Linked DNA regions of Rhinolophus ferrumequinum. The protein of the gene in region 1 purifies or fractionates together with the protein of each later gene. This does not show direct contact. Links are inferred from orthologs where the notes say so. Each region holds a gene or a part of one and is shown on either strand. Other genes may lie near its edges.

What was found.
Region 2: the proteins of ATXN7L3 (region 1) and TADA3 purify together in Homo sapiens (affinity purification with mass spectrometry; 6 studies listed by BioGRID and IntAct, counting the BioPlex papers as one, with this or other methods). This does not show direct contact. The link is inferred for Rhinolophus ferrumequinum from reciprocal best matches to the Homo sapiens genes ATXN7L3 and TADA3.
Region 3: the proteins of ATXN7L3 (region 1) and TAF9B purify together in Homo sapiens (affinity purification with mass spectrometry; 5 studies listed by BioGRID and IntAct, counting the BioPlex papers as one, with this or other methods). This does not show direct contact. The link is inferred for Rhinolophus ferrumequinum from reciprocal best matches to the Homo sapiens genes ATXN7L3 and TAF9B.

The regions. Positions count from the first base shown.
Region 1 is NC_046304.1:39,289,625-39,293,367, forward strand, and holds the start of ATXN7L3 (ataxin-7-like protein 3), read right to left. Parts: upstream 2,569-3,743; 5' UTR 2,446-2,568; intron 1,712-2,445; exon of another isoform or gene 1,515-1,711; intron 1,094-1,514; 5' UTR 1,034-1,093; coding exon 983-1,033; intron 686-982; coding exon 553-685; intron 350-552; coding exon 178-349; intron 1-177. UniProt on the Homo sapiens protein: Component of the transcription regulatory histone acetylation (HAT) complex SAGA, a multiprotein complex that activates transcription by remodeling chromatin and mediating histone acetylation and deubiquitination.
Region 2 is NC_046300.1:44,119,657-44,123,399, forward strand, and holds the start of TADA3 (transcriptional adapter 3), read left to right. Parts: upstream 1-1,097; 5' UTR 1,098-1,214; intron 1,215-1,396; exon of another isoform or gene 1,397-1,899; intron 1,900-2,596; 5' UTR 2,597-2,617; coding exon 2,618-2,824; intron 2,825-3,743. Other genes in the region: ARPC4 (actin-related protein 2/3 complex subunit 4), read right to left, coding at 997-999. UniProt on the Homo sapiens protein: Functions as a component of the PCAF complex. The PCAF complex is capable of efficiently acetylating histones in a nucleosomal context. The PCAF complex could be considered as the human version of the yeast SAGA complex.
Region 3 is NC_046284.1:75,558,432-75,562,174, reverse strand, and holds the start of TAF9B (transcription initiation factor TFIID subunit 9B), read right to left. Parts: upstream 2,653-3,743; 5' UTR 2,576-2,652; coding exon 2,525-2,575; intron 1,922-2,524; coding exon 1,840-1,921; intron 1,516-1,839; coding exon 1,379-1,515; intron 1,295-1,378; coding exon 1,160-1,294; intron 342-1,159; coding exon 266-341; intron 1-265. UniProt on the Homo sapiens protein: Essential for cell viability. TAF9 and TAF9B are involved in transcriptional activation as well as repression of distinct but overlapping sets of genes. May have a role in gene regulation associated with apoptosis.

The DNA.
Region 1 (3,743 bases):
AAGGGTCAAGGCTGCCATGTCTCTCTTGCCCCCAACTTCAGAGGTATAGTGGGGCATCTGGGGCCAAGCATGACCCACCCTCTCTCTGTACCCTACAAATGCCCACAGGGGACTACACCATAGTACAAGCTGCAAAGGATGAGCAGCTCTGGTTCTAGCAGGGGGGGAAGCCCTCACCGGCGGTTGGCGATTCGGCTGCTGTTCCGACCCATTCCCAGGCACTTCTCCAGATGGGGAGCAAAGCGGGAGGCGGCAATGCTGCGGCTGCAATTGGGGCAAACACACTCCTTGCTCTTCCACTGGTTGAAAACCTGTCCAAAGATGTCCAACCCCGGCTGGTCCACGATCTCTGGGGACAGGAGAGGCGTGGCGATCAGGGCAGGCAGGGGACCCTCACCTCTGGTTCCCACCCGTGGCCCCATGGCCTCTTCAAACCCCCAGCCTAAGCTCACAGGAGCTCTAGGCTCTGCATCTGGTGCAGTTTCCAGAGGAGGAACCTCCAAGCACTACCAGGGCAGGACTAGACCGCTCTCCTTCCACCCTGAAGCTCACCAAAATCCTTCATGCTATCAGGGTCCGTGTCATCCAGGAAGAAGTAGCCACACTTGACAGCCCGGTGTACCTCAAAGCAGAATCCCAAACAAGAATCCTCGACCAGGTCCGCGTATATCTCCTGAGCGATGGCCTGGGCCCAGGGGAGAACAGCCACGGTCACAAGAGTCACAGCCCTGGACTGAGAGCAATTCTCACCAACCAAATCTCCTGCCAATTCACCCTGGCCAAAAATAATGCTTCCTTTGCCATTTTCCCCATCTTGACTTTGCCTTCTTTCTTCTTCCGGATCCTTGGGCCTTTTCAGCTGGCTATTCCCTTTAAGGAACAAGGCTGAACTACCCAAATTCCTCTTTGGTGTGGATGCCAGATATAGAGACGTAGAGACATCAAGAGAAAGAACTAGAGGCACACGTGGGGGAGCCCTCACCTCTAGTTTGCTGTTATCCAGGCCAGACAAAGACATTTCCTCCATTTTCATTTGTAAACTCTTGTGGAGACGGCGCTCTGACTGCTCATAGCACAGCGGGCGGCAACACGGCTGCACACATGGGGATGGGGGTGTTGGTGTGAGTCCAAGGCACCTCTGAACATCGCCACCTCCCCTCCACACCTCGCTGCCCAGAGTGTAATCCTGGCATCAGGATATACCCCTCCCTAAGGCCTAGGTTCACTCAGTCTGGATGGTCCTTCAGGGCCTGAAAACCAAAGACAACCTAGTTCTTCCTTCCCAGGCCTCAACTCAGGCCCTGGACTCTACTGCCAATCAGAGTCTGGGTCTATAGGAGGCAGCAGCTCACCCCAGGTCCCCAAAACTCAAACCCCTCTTCCATACCCATGGTGCAATGCAGCAGGGGGAGGAGAAGGAACTCTAATGCCTCAAAGCAAACCCACAGGGTGTGGCAAAGAACTGCACACTCCTAAATACACTCCCCCCTGCCCCAGGCTCTCCTCAGAGTCACCTCTGTTTTCAGTCAGGATGTCCACTTGGGGGGGTACTGCTACCAGAAGTAGGAAGCCCTAGGACCCTACAACCTTCACCCCACTGTCTTCCCTTTAAATAAGCCTCCCACTACAGGAGAGTAGCAGAGTCCACAGAAACCTAGAGCGAAAGGGGCATTTCTAGCCAGCATGAGCAAGAGGGGTAGAGCCCAGTGGGATGGCATGCTAGGAGTGGGCACTCCCCTTACCTGTTCTTCTTTTAGATAACCACCCACCCTCCCTCAGGACCTGCCCGGAAGTCTCCCCAAGAGCCCCAAAGTCCAGGAATTCCCACCAAAGGATTCAGAAACACTGCCCACAGTCTGGGGCCCTTCTGAACGATGGGTGCGAGTTTAAGGAGCTGCCGGCCTGGAGTGGGGTGGGGACTGACAAATGAGCCAGGGGCACTGGGGAGGGTAGGAGGCCGGGCCTCGGCTCTTCCCCCGTCCCTGCGGCACTGCTGCTGCATCATACCGACTGGGGGGAGGAGAGCCGAGCCACCGGAGGCCGGCGCCGGTCCGGGACAGACCGACCCCTAGAGAGTGGGCAAAGTGGGACGCGTCCCGGCCCCTCTCTTTCCCCACCCGCCGGCAGCCCTGACCGGTCGGGGATAGGAGTCCGGGAGGGTGTCTCTATTGTCCCGGGGGCTGGGGCCTGGCTCCCTAACAAAGGCCCCGCGCCCCCTCCCCGGCCGGCCCTGCCCCGCCCAGGGGGGACCCAGACAGGGGGAGAGCAAGGGGCCCCCGGCCCGGCCGGGAAGCCGGGGGAAGCCGGGCGTTTCCGCGTCGGCCCGGGGGGAGGGGAAGGGGCGCTGACCCAGACCTGGGGGGAGGGGGCCCAAGCCCCGCCTCGGGCCCCGCCCCCCGCCCCCCGCAGGCCCCTCCCCCGTCCCTGTCTCCGTCCCGTACTCACCCCGCCCGGGGGGCCGCGCCGGGGCCCGGCGGCCTCTCAGGGCCGCGTCCTCCGGCGGCGGCGGCGGCGGCGGCTGCTCCGGAGCCCCATGTCCGTCGGTCCGTCCTCGCCTCTCCCCGGGACCCAGGGCCCGGGGCCGGGGGGTCGGGCCACCCCCCCGCCTCGCCGCCTCACCGGGCGGCCATGGCCCCTTCCCCTCCCTTCTCGTCCCGTCGCCGCCTCCTCCTCCTCACCTCACCCCGCCCGCGCGCAGTCCGCGCGCCGTCCGCGCGCCCCTCCCCCCGCCCCCCACTCCAGCCCGCCTCTCCCGGGCGGGGGGTGCGGCGCGAGCCCGGAGCGCGCGCGCGTGCCGCGACCGGAGGATGGATGGATGGAGCAAGCGAGAGCGCGAGCGTGCGCGCGCGCGCCCCTCTCCCCCTCCCTCCGCGCGGGCTCGAGGCCAAGCGCGAGCACGCTCCAACCTCCTCCTCTTCCTCCTCCCGCCCCTCCTCAACACCCCGCCCCCGCCCTCCCTTCCTCTTCCTTCTTTCGCTTTCGCGCGCCCAGCGATGGCTCGCGCCTGCTAGAAGGGCCCGAGCGCGTGCATCTGCCCCGCGGCCGCAGCTCGGCAGCATTTGCTCCAGGGGGCGGGGACCGGGCGGGGAGGAGGGGCGCCACGCCGCCGGCCAAAGTACCGGCGGACGGGGACGGAGGCGGGGATATGGGCGGGGCCTTCGGGAGACACTGCGGCCAATCGCCATCTCTCTTCGGCCAAGCGGGCCCAATAGGATGGCGGTGGGTGGGGCGGCGTTCAAGGTGAGGTGCGCGGTGCGCTGGGGGCGGAGACGTTGTGCCGTCCCGGCCGGCTCCGGGGCGGGGGCAGCGGGTGGCGTCTAAAGAGAGCGCCGGCTCCCAGCCGAGCCTGGGACGCCTTCCGGCCCAGGCTCCCCCGCCCTTCCCTCGGGGTTCCCGGCTCTCTTTCCCCCCCACCCCCCCACCTCGGCGTTTGCCCTGAACCGTGCAGCCACTTCTGTGAAGAGGCCGGAGTTAAAGTGGGGTGCAGTTAGCACCGCAGGGCAAAAAACCCACGATGCCGAAGGGGTTTGTCCGAACCTCCGTTCCCGGTTTCTGGACGGGTCTCAGCCCATTCCAGGCCTGCGAATCAACAAACGCCCGAGATGAGGGTCCTCCGCTGAGGGTGGAGGCCGAGCTGTGCCTTTTTGAGCGAAGCGTCCTCCTCGCCCTCATCCTAATTTAGATCCCACACCTGCTCTCCTTTCCTGCTTCCGGAACCCACGCTGGACCCCCCACCTCTCAGA
Region 2 (3,743 bases), on another chromosome or scaffold:
GAAAGAGGAGGAGGCCTGATTACAAAGGGACTGGCGGGAACATTTTGAGGTGATGGGAATGTTCTGTGCCTTGATGGTAGTGGTTACGTGATTGTGTGTGTCAAAATTCATAGATGATAAACCGGAAAAGGGTGAATTTTAGGTGGCCAGCCCCATGACACCTGCCCTTTCACAAATAAAACAGTCTCATGCAATACCTCAATAAACCTGATTTTTAAAAAATCAAGAGGTATGGCCAATTTAAGAAACAAAGAAGGAAGAGCGAGTTTAGGAGAAAAGAGGAGTTTTGATCTGGAGGTTTAATGTCAAAGTATCTTCAAGATATCCAGGCAAACCTTGGGAGACACCAGAATACACAAGGTCATCAAAGCCAAGGGACTAGACAGGTACATTACTCCCAGGAACGTACACATTTATCAAACAGGAGGATTTCCAGGGAGAGAGATCAGCAGTATCAGATCTTACAGTAAGGCAACAACGTTTTTGTTCTGACCAGGAAGGGGCTCGGGTGGAGGCAGCTTAAGAAATCCTTCAGTACGGTAGAATCAAGGTAGGGGGTAAGGAGAAGAGTGGGATATGGAAGTGTAGACGCTTCCCTGGGGAAACTAGAGAGTCTGGCGGGCAGGAGAAAACAGAGCAGTGCATTTAGTGAAGTTCTATTCCGGGTGGGGAGGTAGCCCTACCACCTGAGCGCTAGCTACTACGAGCCTAGGAGGTCTCACTTCCGGCTTCCTCCATGCCTCAGGTATTCCCTACCTGTCTCCAAAGACAGACTGTGAAGTCACCATGCCTACTTCTTACGAGGGCGTTCCCCGCTCGCCCCTTCCTCCCTTCGACCCCCACCCCGCCTTCTTTCTCCGAGCCTCATCGTGCCCCCAACTCCCCAGCATCCCTCGGCCCCAGGCCTCTCCGCTGCAAAGCCGTATCTCCCCCAGACCCACAACTCTGAGACAGAATGGGGGGGGGGGTCCCTGGCCCGGGGCCCGGCTCTCTCACCATCGCGGGCGCTGGCTGGGCCGGAAAGCGGAAGTACGGAAGTGGCCAGGCCCGCGACGCCTGCCCTTTCGCGAGAAGCGCAGCCGCAGTCTCCGCCCGGACTTCCGGACAGTACCATCTGTGCTCCGAGCAGGGTGAGGAGAGCCTCGGAACGCTGGGTCCCTTGGAAGTTTTCCCGCTAGGACTGCCTTGGTATCTTTAGACTGCTGCAATTTCAGGTCGGTACTCAAGCTTCTCCCGTTATCCATGCAGCTCTCGCTTGTGACTTTGGCTTTCTTGTCCTATTTGCCGCTTTCTTTCCCCATAGTCATGCAATGGTGCCGCCCGGCCGAAGGTTGGGCACCATATTTGGACAAGGCGAGGCGGAGGAGCCCTGCGTTCCTTCCGGTTCTGCGCCCCCATCCTTCCCCCGAGCCCCTCCTACCGGCTGCCTCTGGGGCTCGGCGGAACTAAATGCCTGACCGAAAACCCGGCTGCCGAGCCCCGCCCTCCAGCCCTTGGCTGTTCCCTCGGGTACCCGCGGCGTAACCCCCACCCCAATTGCAGTGGTCCAGCTCACGGCCCGCAAACCCTCCCCCGCAAGGCACCGTGAGCTCTCCCTCGCGTTTCTCCGCCCCCGCGTCAACTGCAGGGGCCCCGCCCATAGCCAGTTGCGAGCGGTAGATCCGACCAACCGGAACTCCCCACCCCCTCTCGCGGCCCGGGGGCCGTAGGAGGCCAGAGTGTGGAGGTAGAGGGGGCAGGAGCCGCGTTAGGGGTCTCGAGTGGACGGGGACCCTGAAGGCGGGGCATTGGGGCGACCCACGGGTGGAGCCAGCCGTTAAGCAGTCCCACTTCTGTGCCAGGCACTGAACTGGGCTCTTGACGAGCATCATCTTTTAATCCTCAGAACATCCGGGGGAGGTAGGTACCATTATTATCCCCATTTTACAGATTCAGACTTCTTATGGGGAAACAGACCCACACTACTTTGTCCCCATTTTGCAGTTGGAAAAACCGAGACTCAGGAAAGTTAAATGGCATATTCAGGGCCACATACATAGAGAACGGCAAAGTTTGGGCTTGGACCCAGGTATGTCTGGCTTACCATATCACATTCTTAACCACTGTCGGGCAAAAATAACCGGCAAAGTGGGAAGGAGTGAGACAAGGTGAAGCAGGGAGGCACAATTGAGAATGGGATGCTTGGAGCTCAGAGGCTTAGCAGAACTCACGAGAAGAACAACAAAAGAAAAGAGCATCAGGAAGACGTGGCATAGTGTATCATGGTAGTGAGGGGCTCAGACTCAGAAATACCTGGATTCAAAGTCTTGGTAAGCTTGGGCATGTACCCACCCTTACAAAGTCTCAGTTTCCTTATCTGTAAAATGAAGAGCACCATGGTCCCTGCTCAGAGGGTGAGGAATCAGTGAAAAGCTGGTAAGATGTCTGCACCTTGCTTGGTGCACAGTGGGTGCTCTCGGAGTAATAGCAGTGCCATCAGTCTTGTCAATAGGGTACTGAAGTCGGGCTTTCTCCTTGAGGCTGTTCCTGGATGGAGGGAACCCTTGGGCTTTCCTTGTGCCACTTTACCTCCCATCAATGTCCCTCTCCTTTTCAGCTCCGCAGGGTATCCTGGGCCATGAGTGAGCTGAAGGACTGCCCCTTGCAGTTCCACGACTTCAAGTCTGTGGACCACCTGAAAGTCTGTCCACGCTACACAGCAGTGCTGGCCCGCTCTGAGGATGATGGCATCGGCATTGAGGAGCTGGACACTCTGCAGTTAGAGCTTGAAACCCTGCTTTCCTCTGCCAGCCGGCGCCTGCGGGTGCTGGAGGCCGAAACTCAGGTGATACCCTACAGAGACGACGTCACCAGGGGTAGACTGATAAGTTATGGGATGGCTCATTGAGTTCGTCCCATCTGCTAAGGCCTGGGGTACAGGAGGTTGCAGGGGGGACAAATTGGGTTCTAGGGACACAAAATAAGCAAGAACATGTGTGATCTCCATAAACTGCAAGATTTCTAAGCATTTATTGACAACACAGCCCTCCCGCCCCCGACCCACCCCTTATGTTCTGGGTCCTGTGCAAGTCATTAGAGAAAGATAATTAAGACAATTCTGGCCTTCAGGGAGTTTGCTAACTATAAGTGGTGGGGGGCTGGTTAGACAAGTACCAGGTGATGTGTTATGGTTAGGGGGAATAGGGGAACTGGAATGAGGAGAGGATTTGAATCCTGGACTAAGCACTAGTTAGTGTTAGTTTCCTAGCTCTGTGACTTTGGGAAGATTACTTCCTATTTCTGAGCATGTTTCCTGTCTGCAAACTGTGCCGAATAATAGGACGTACCAAAGAGGATTTGTGAGGATTAAGAGAGGTTTTTTGTTTCGGTTTTTTTTTGCGAAGTCTGAGCCCAGTTTCTGACACTAAGTCAGCATTTTAAATGTTAGTCATTGGCACTACTCTCATCTCTCTTCACTGCATAAACATCCTCTGGGGCCTGTGTGCCAGGTGCTATGCCAGATCCTGGGGGACAACTGGTTAAGATGAGCTTCCTGGTCTCCAGCAGCTTATAATCTAGTCAAAAAGATAAAGTATGCTGTGCATTTTAGTATGTCCAAACAAGATGTTTGGGCCTACAGTGAAGGTGCAAAGTGCCAGGGACTCATAGAGGAAGAAGATGCCATTTCAACTGGACTTTGAAGTATGAAGAGCGTTGACTTGTGGTCCCTGAGAATCCACTGAAGCTTTTTGAACAGGGTTGTG
Region 3 (3,743 bases), on another chromosome or scaffold:
AGCTTAAACTCCTGTTTTTGGTATCATACTTTATACCAGCAACAATGCTGGGTAATGTCCAAATCTATACTTGTAAGCTTTCTCATTTTGAAATCTGATAAAATACTGTGTGTCTATAGCTTTACTATAGGATGAATAATGTATCAATGTCAACACACATATGGGAATTTCTGACTCACCTTTTGACTTGGATTATAGTTCAAAATCAAGTGCTGAGGCACTTCTTCTTTACCAGCCAGAAAAGGCATTTCCCTCTCTCACTTACCTATAGTAGGAGTGGTAGGTCTGCTACTAACAGCACCAACACTTAACCGTGGAACTAGTCTTCCTTGGTTAGGTCCCTATGGGATTTAACAAACAAATTAGTTTTAATGTTGTTCAGATTTGACACCTAAACTTAATAGGAATGAAATTAGGATTGTTGATGTTAATTATTAATGGATAACCCACGGCAAGAATGCCCTGTTTTTGTTCTATTAGTGTTCCGAATCCAACATTTAAACTAGGGTTTTCACAGACATATATATAAACAGATGAGTGTGCGTGCACGCACACACACACACAGAATTCTGTATAGTACTTAGGTTACGGTAGAATCTTATTTGGGGATAACAGCTAACTTCCTTAACATTTTCAATCTTAACTAGTCAACATCTTAACCCAAGAAGAAATAAATTCTCTTACAGTGGAACTTCAGACAACAAAGGGAGCCCAATATGGGGAGCACCTTTTCAGTGGTGGGAGAGCCTTAGGTCATATTTCAGAAAGCAAGTCTAATTTCTGATGGTATATCATTTACTCTGTTATTGAGCTTCACTAAAAAACTATGTTCAAGTGGAAAGATTGGGAGTTGTGAAACCTGGGAATCAGCCCTAGCTTTGCTACTAACTCCATGGATGAGTTTAGGCTCACTTTCCTGATGTGAAAAATAAGCGTTGGGTTACATGAACACTAAAGTTCCTTTTAGCTCTAAAAACTTTAGGTCTTATATTTTGTATTTTAACATAGCAGCTAACTGCAGTAAATTAAAAAAGTATATATATCCTAGTAAATTATTTTAGCCTTTAATCTACTGCACTATCTACAGGCATTTGTTCTTTACAAATTTCTCTAACACATCTCACCTTTCTAAAAAGCTAAACTGACTAACAATTCTTACCTTTTTAATTAAGGACTTCAGCCTATAGTTTGGAGCTGTTAAGCAGTATCTGTCAGGAGGCAGTCTGGGTCCTGCATATGGCTTAATCAGAGGTAAAGGGGTTTGATTTTTCTGCCTTGCAATATCCAGTAAAAACTTAAAACAAAACAAAAAAAAACTGATAAGAACTACAATGAAAAAATTATAAATAAAATGAACTTTAAATAAATGTTTGCTCACATCTCTCGGGGGAGGAGATGTAAAGGACTGGTCAGCGCGGCACTGGATTGCCAGTCTCACATCGTCTGCATCTACATTGGGTTTCTTAGCATGGCTCGAATAAATTTTTGCATCATCCAGAATTGTAGTCACATATCCTTTAAGAACAAAACATTATTTTCTTAAACATATGGAAACAGCTTAATATTTATGGCCAGTTTTCTTAATGGAAGTTTCCATTAATTGCTAGAAAGTTTATGAGTTTTGGTTCTAATACCTAATTGTCCTATGTATACGATCAATTTTTGAAAAATACCACAGTATAAATACTGTTGTCCCTTAGCTTGAGCTCCATTTTACTGCTTTAGGCTGAATTCTAAGATATTAACTGTTAAAGTAATTTAGTTGAAAATATTCTTAGAATAAAAGGATCTTTTCAAATTCACAAGTTAGGCAAAAATTTTTTGGTGTTATCAACTTACGGAAGGCAAATTCCAACATTTGATTTATAACTCTTGGCTCATACTCAGTGATTCCCATATCCTTCAGGATCTGCGCCATCACCTGTGGATTCAAATAAAAAGGCCAGATGCATAATCTAGGTACTGGAAATCAAGATTGGACCAAAGGTAGTATTTATATTTATGATACAGGGTCCCCCTTCTACAGGCTCCAAACTTGTACTCAGCCGTTTCCTCCCAAGTGAGTGTCAGGATCACACCAAATCCCTTCGTACCCTCTTTCCTGAAAACTTTTTTTTTCCGCGGGGGATGGGGGCGGGGACGAAGAGGCCCGGGTTGGCTTTCCCAGCAGAGGTCGGGGTGGCTACAGCTGGTTGTCATTTTTGGATGTGGCGATGGGGAGAGCTAGCATCAGAATCCTGGACACGAGAGTCAGGGTTCGCAGACCAGGCGACACGACGAGGCGGCCGCGACCCGAGGCCCGGGAGACAAACCCGGGCGGTTGGACTGCGCACTCCGGCGGGGCTGCCGGGATGGCGGGAGAGCGCCCCGGAGCCAGGGCACCCCAATCTCACACTCCTTCCTGCCGCCTCGGCTGGGCTGAAGCCAGCACGCGAGCCCATCCTCAGGCCCTAGGCCTGGGCCTGTCTCCCAGGTCTCTGGCTGCGCGGAGCTTCGCGACCCACCGCTCATCCTTCGCACTTACCAAGGCATCTCTCGGAGCGTTCTTGGGAGGCGCCATCTTGCCCGACTCCATGTTCTCCTGCCACTAGTCATCCGGGGAGAGAAGGCTGCTCGCAGGCTCCTCGCTCAGGCTCCACCCCTGCGGGGTGCGGAAGGCGGGGTTAACGCGCCACCCCTCGGGCCGCCTCTTCCCAGCCGCTACCGGGCCCGGGGGAGGCTGAAGGGGAGTCGGCCGGCTCCGGAGGACTAGAAGATAAGGGTAAATGCTTCCCAGAGAAGCCCTCGGCCAACACCTGGAAGAGCTGAGAAACTCGTGTGTTCCAGAGCTGTTCTCCGGAAAAGGGCACCAAAGGGACCACCTTTGTCTTTTCTGGGGCCTCTCCTCACACCTCCCCTCCTGCCACTCTGGCCCTTTCGGTCTCCTTGGAATGCCTGCAGGGGCCCTGCCTCCACCTGCCCCTATGGTTGGGTTGCCTGGTTAACAGTAGAACGCACAGTTAAATTTGAATATCAGATCAACACCAAATACATTTTTAGCATAAGTATATCCCAACCAGTACACAGTGTATACTTAACACTACAAAATGATTTGTTCATCTGATGTTCAAGTTTAACAGGGCTTTCTGTATTTTTATTGGCTAAATCTGGCAACTCTACCCTATATCCTACTCTCCACACAGCAAGGCTTTGGTCAGCTATGGTCACACTTGAAGCCCTGTCGTGGTTGCCTATTTCATACCGATGAAAAGCTGAAGCCTTTGACCACCTACCTGCAAGATTCTCCTCTGGAGCCCCTTCAGCCTTGTCCTTTGGCCCTGTGTAGTTTCCTCTCTGTCCCTGCTGAGGCCAATTCAGGGCCCTCACTTGCCTCCCAGATGCCCTCCCCTCCCCACTCTCCACAGGACAGCCTGAGTGACTTAAGAAAAACGTGCATCAGTTAACGTCTCTGGCCTAAAGTGTCCCAAAGAGAACTCTTTCTTACTCCTCAATCCACCAATGTGCTAGAATTCTCCATCCCAGGAAAGACACTCTAGCAGTCAGCCGTACTGTGCTCTTTCTCCTACAACCCACATTCAGTCCAGCAGCAAGTTCTGTCAGGGCGACATCCCAAAGTCTGTGTCTCTGCATCTCCATCCAGTGCTACAATGCTAACAGTTCAAGCCAACAGCCTTACTCACTAGGACTACAGAGATAGGTCCCCAAAATTGTGCTCCCTCACATTCTTCACAGACCAGTGGGAT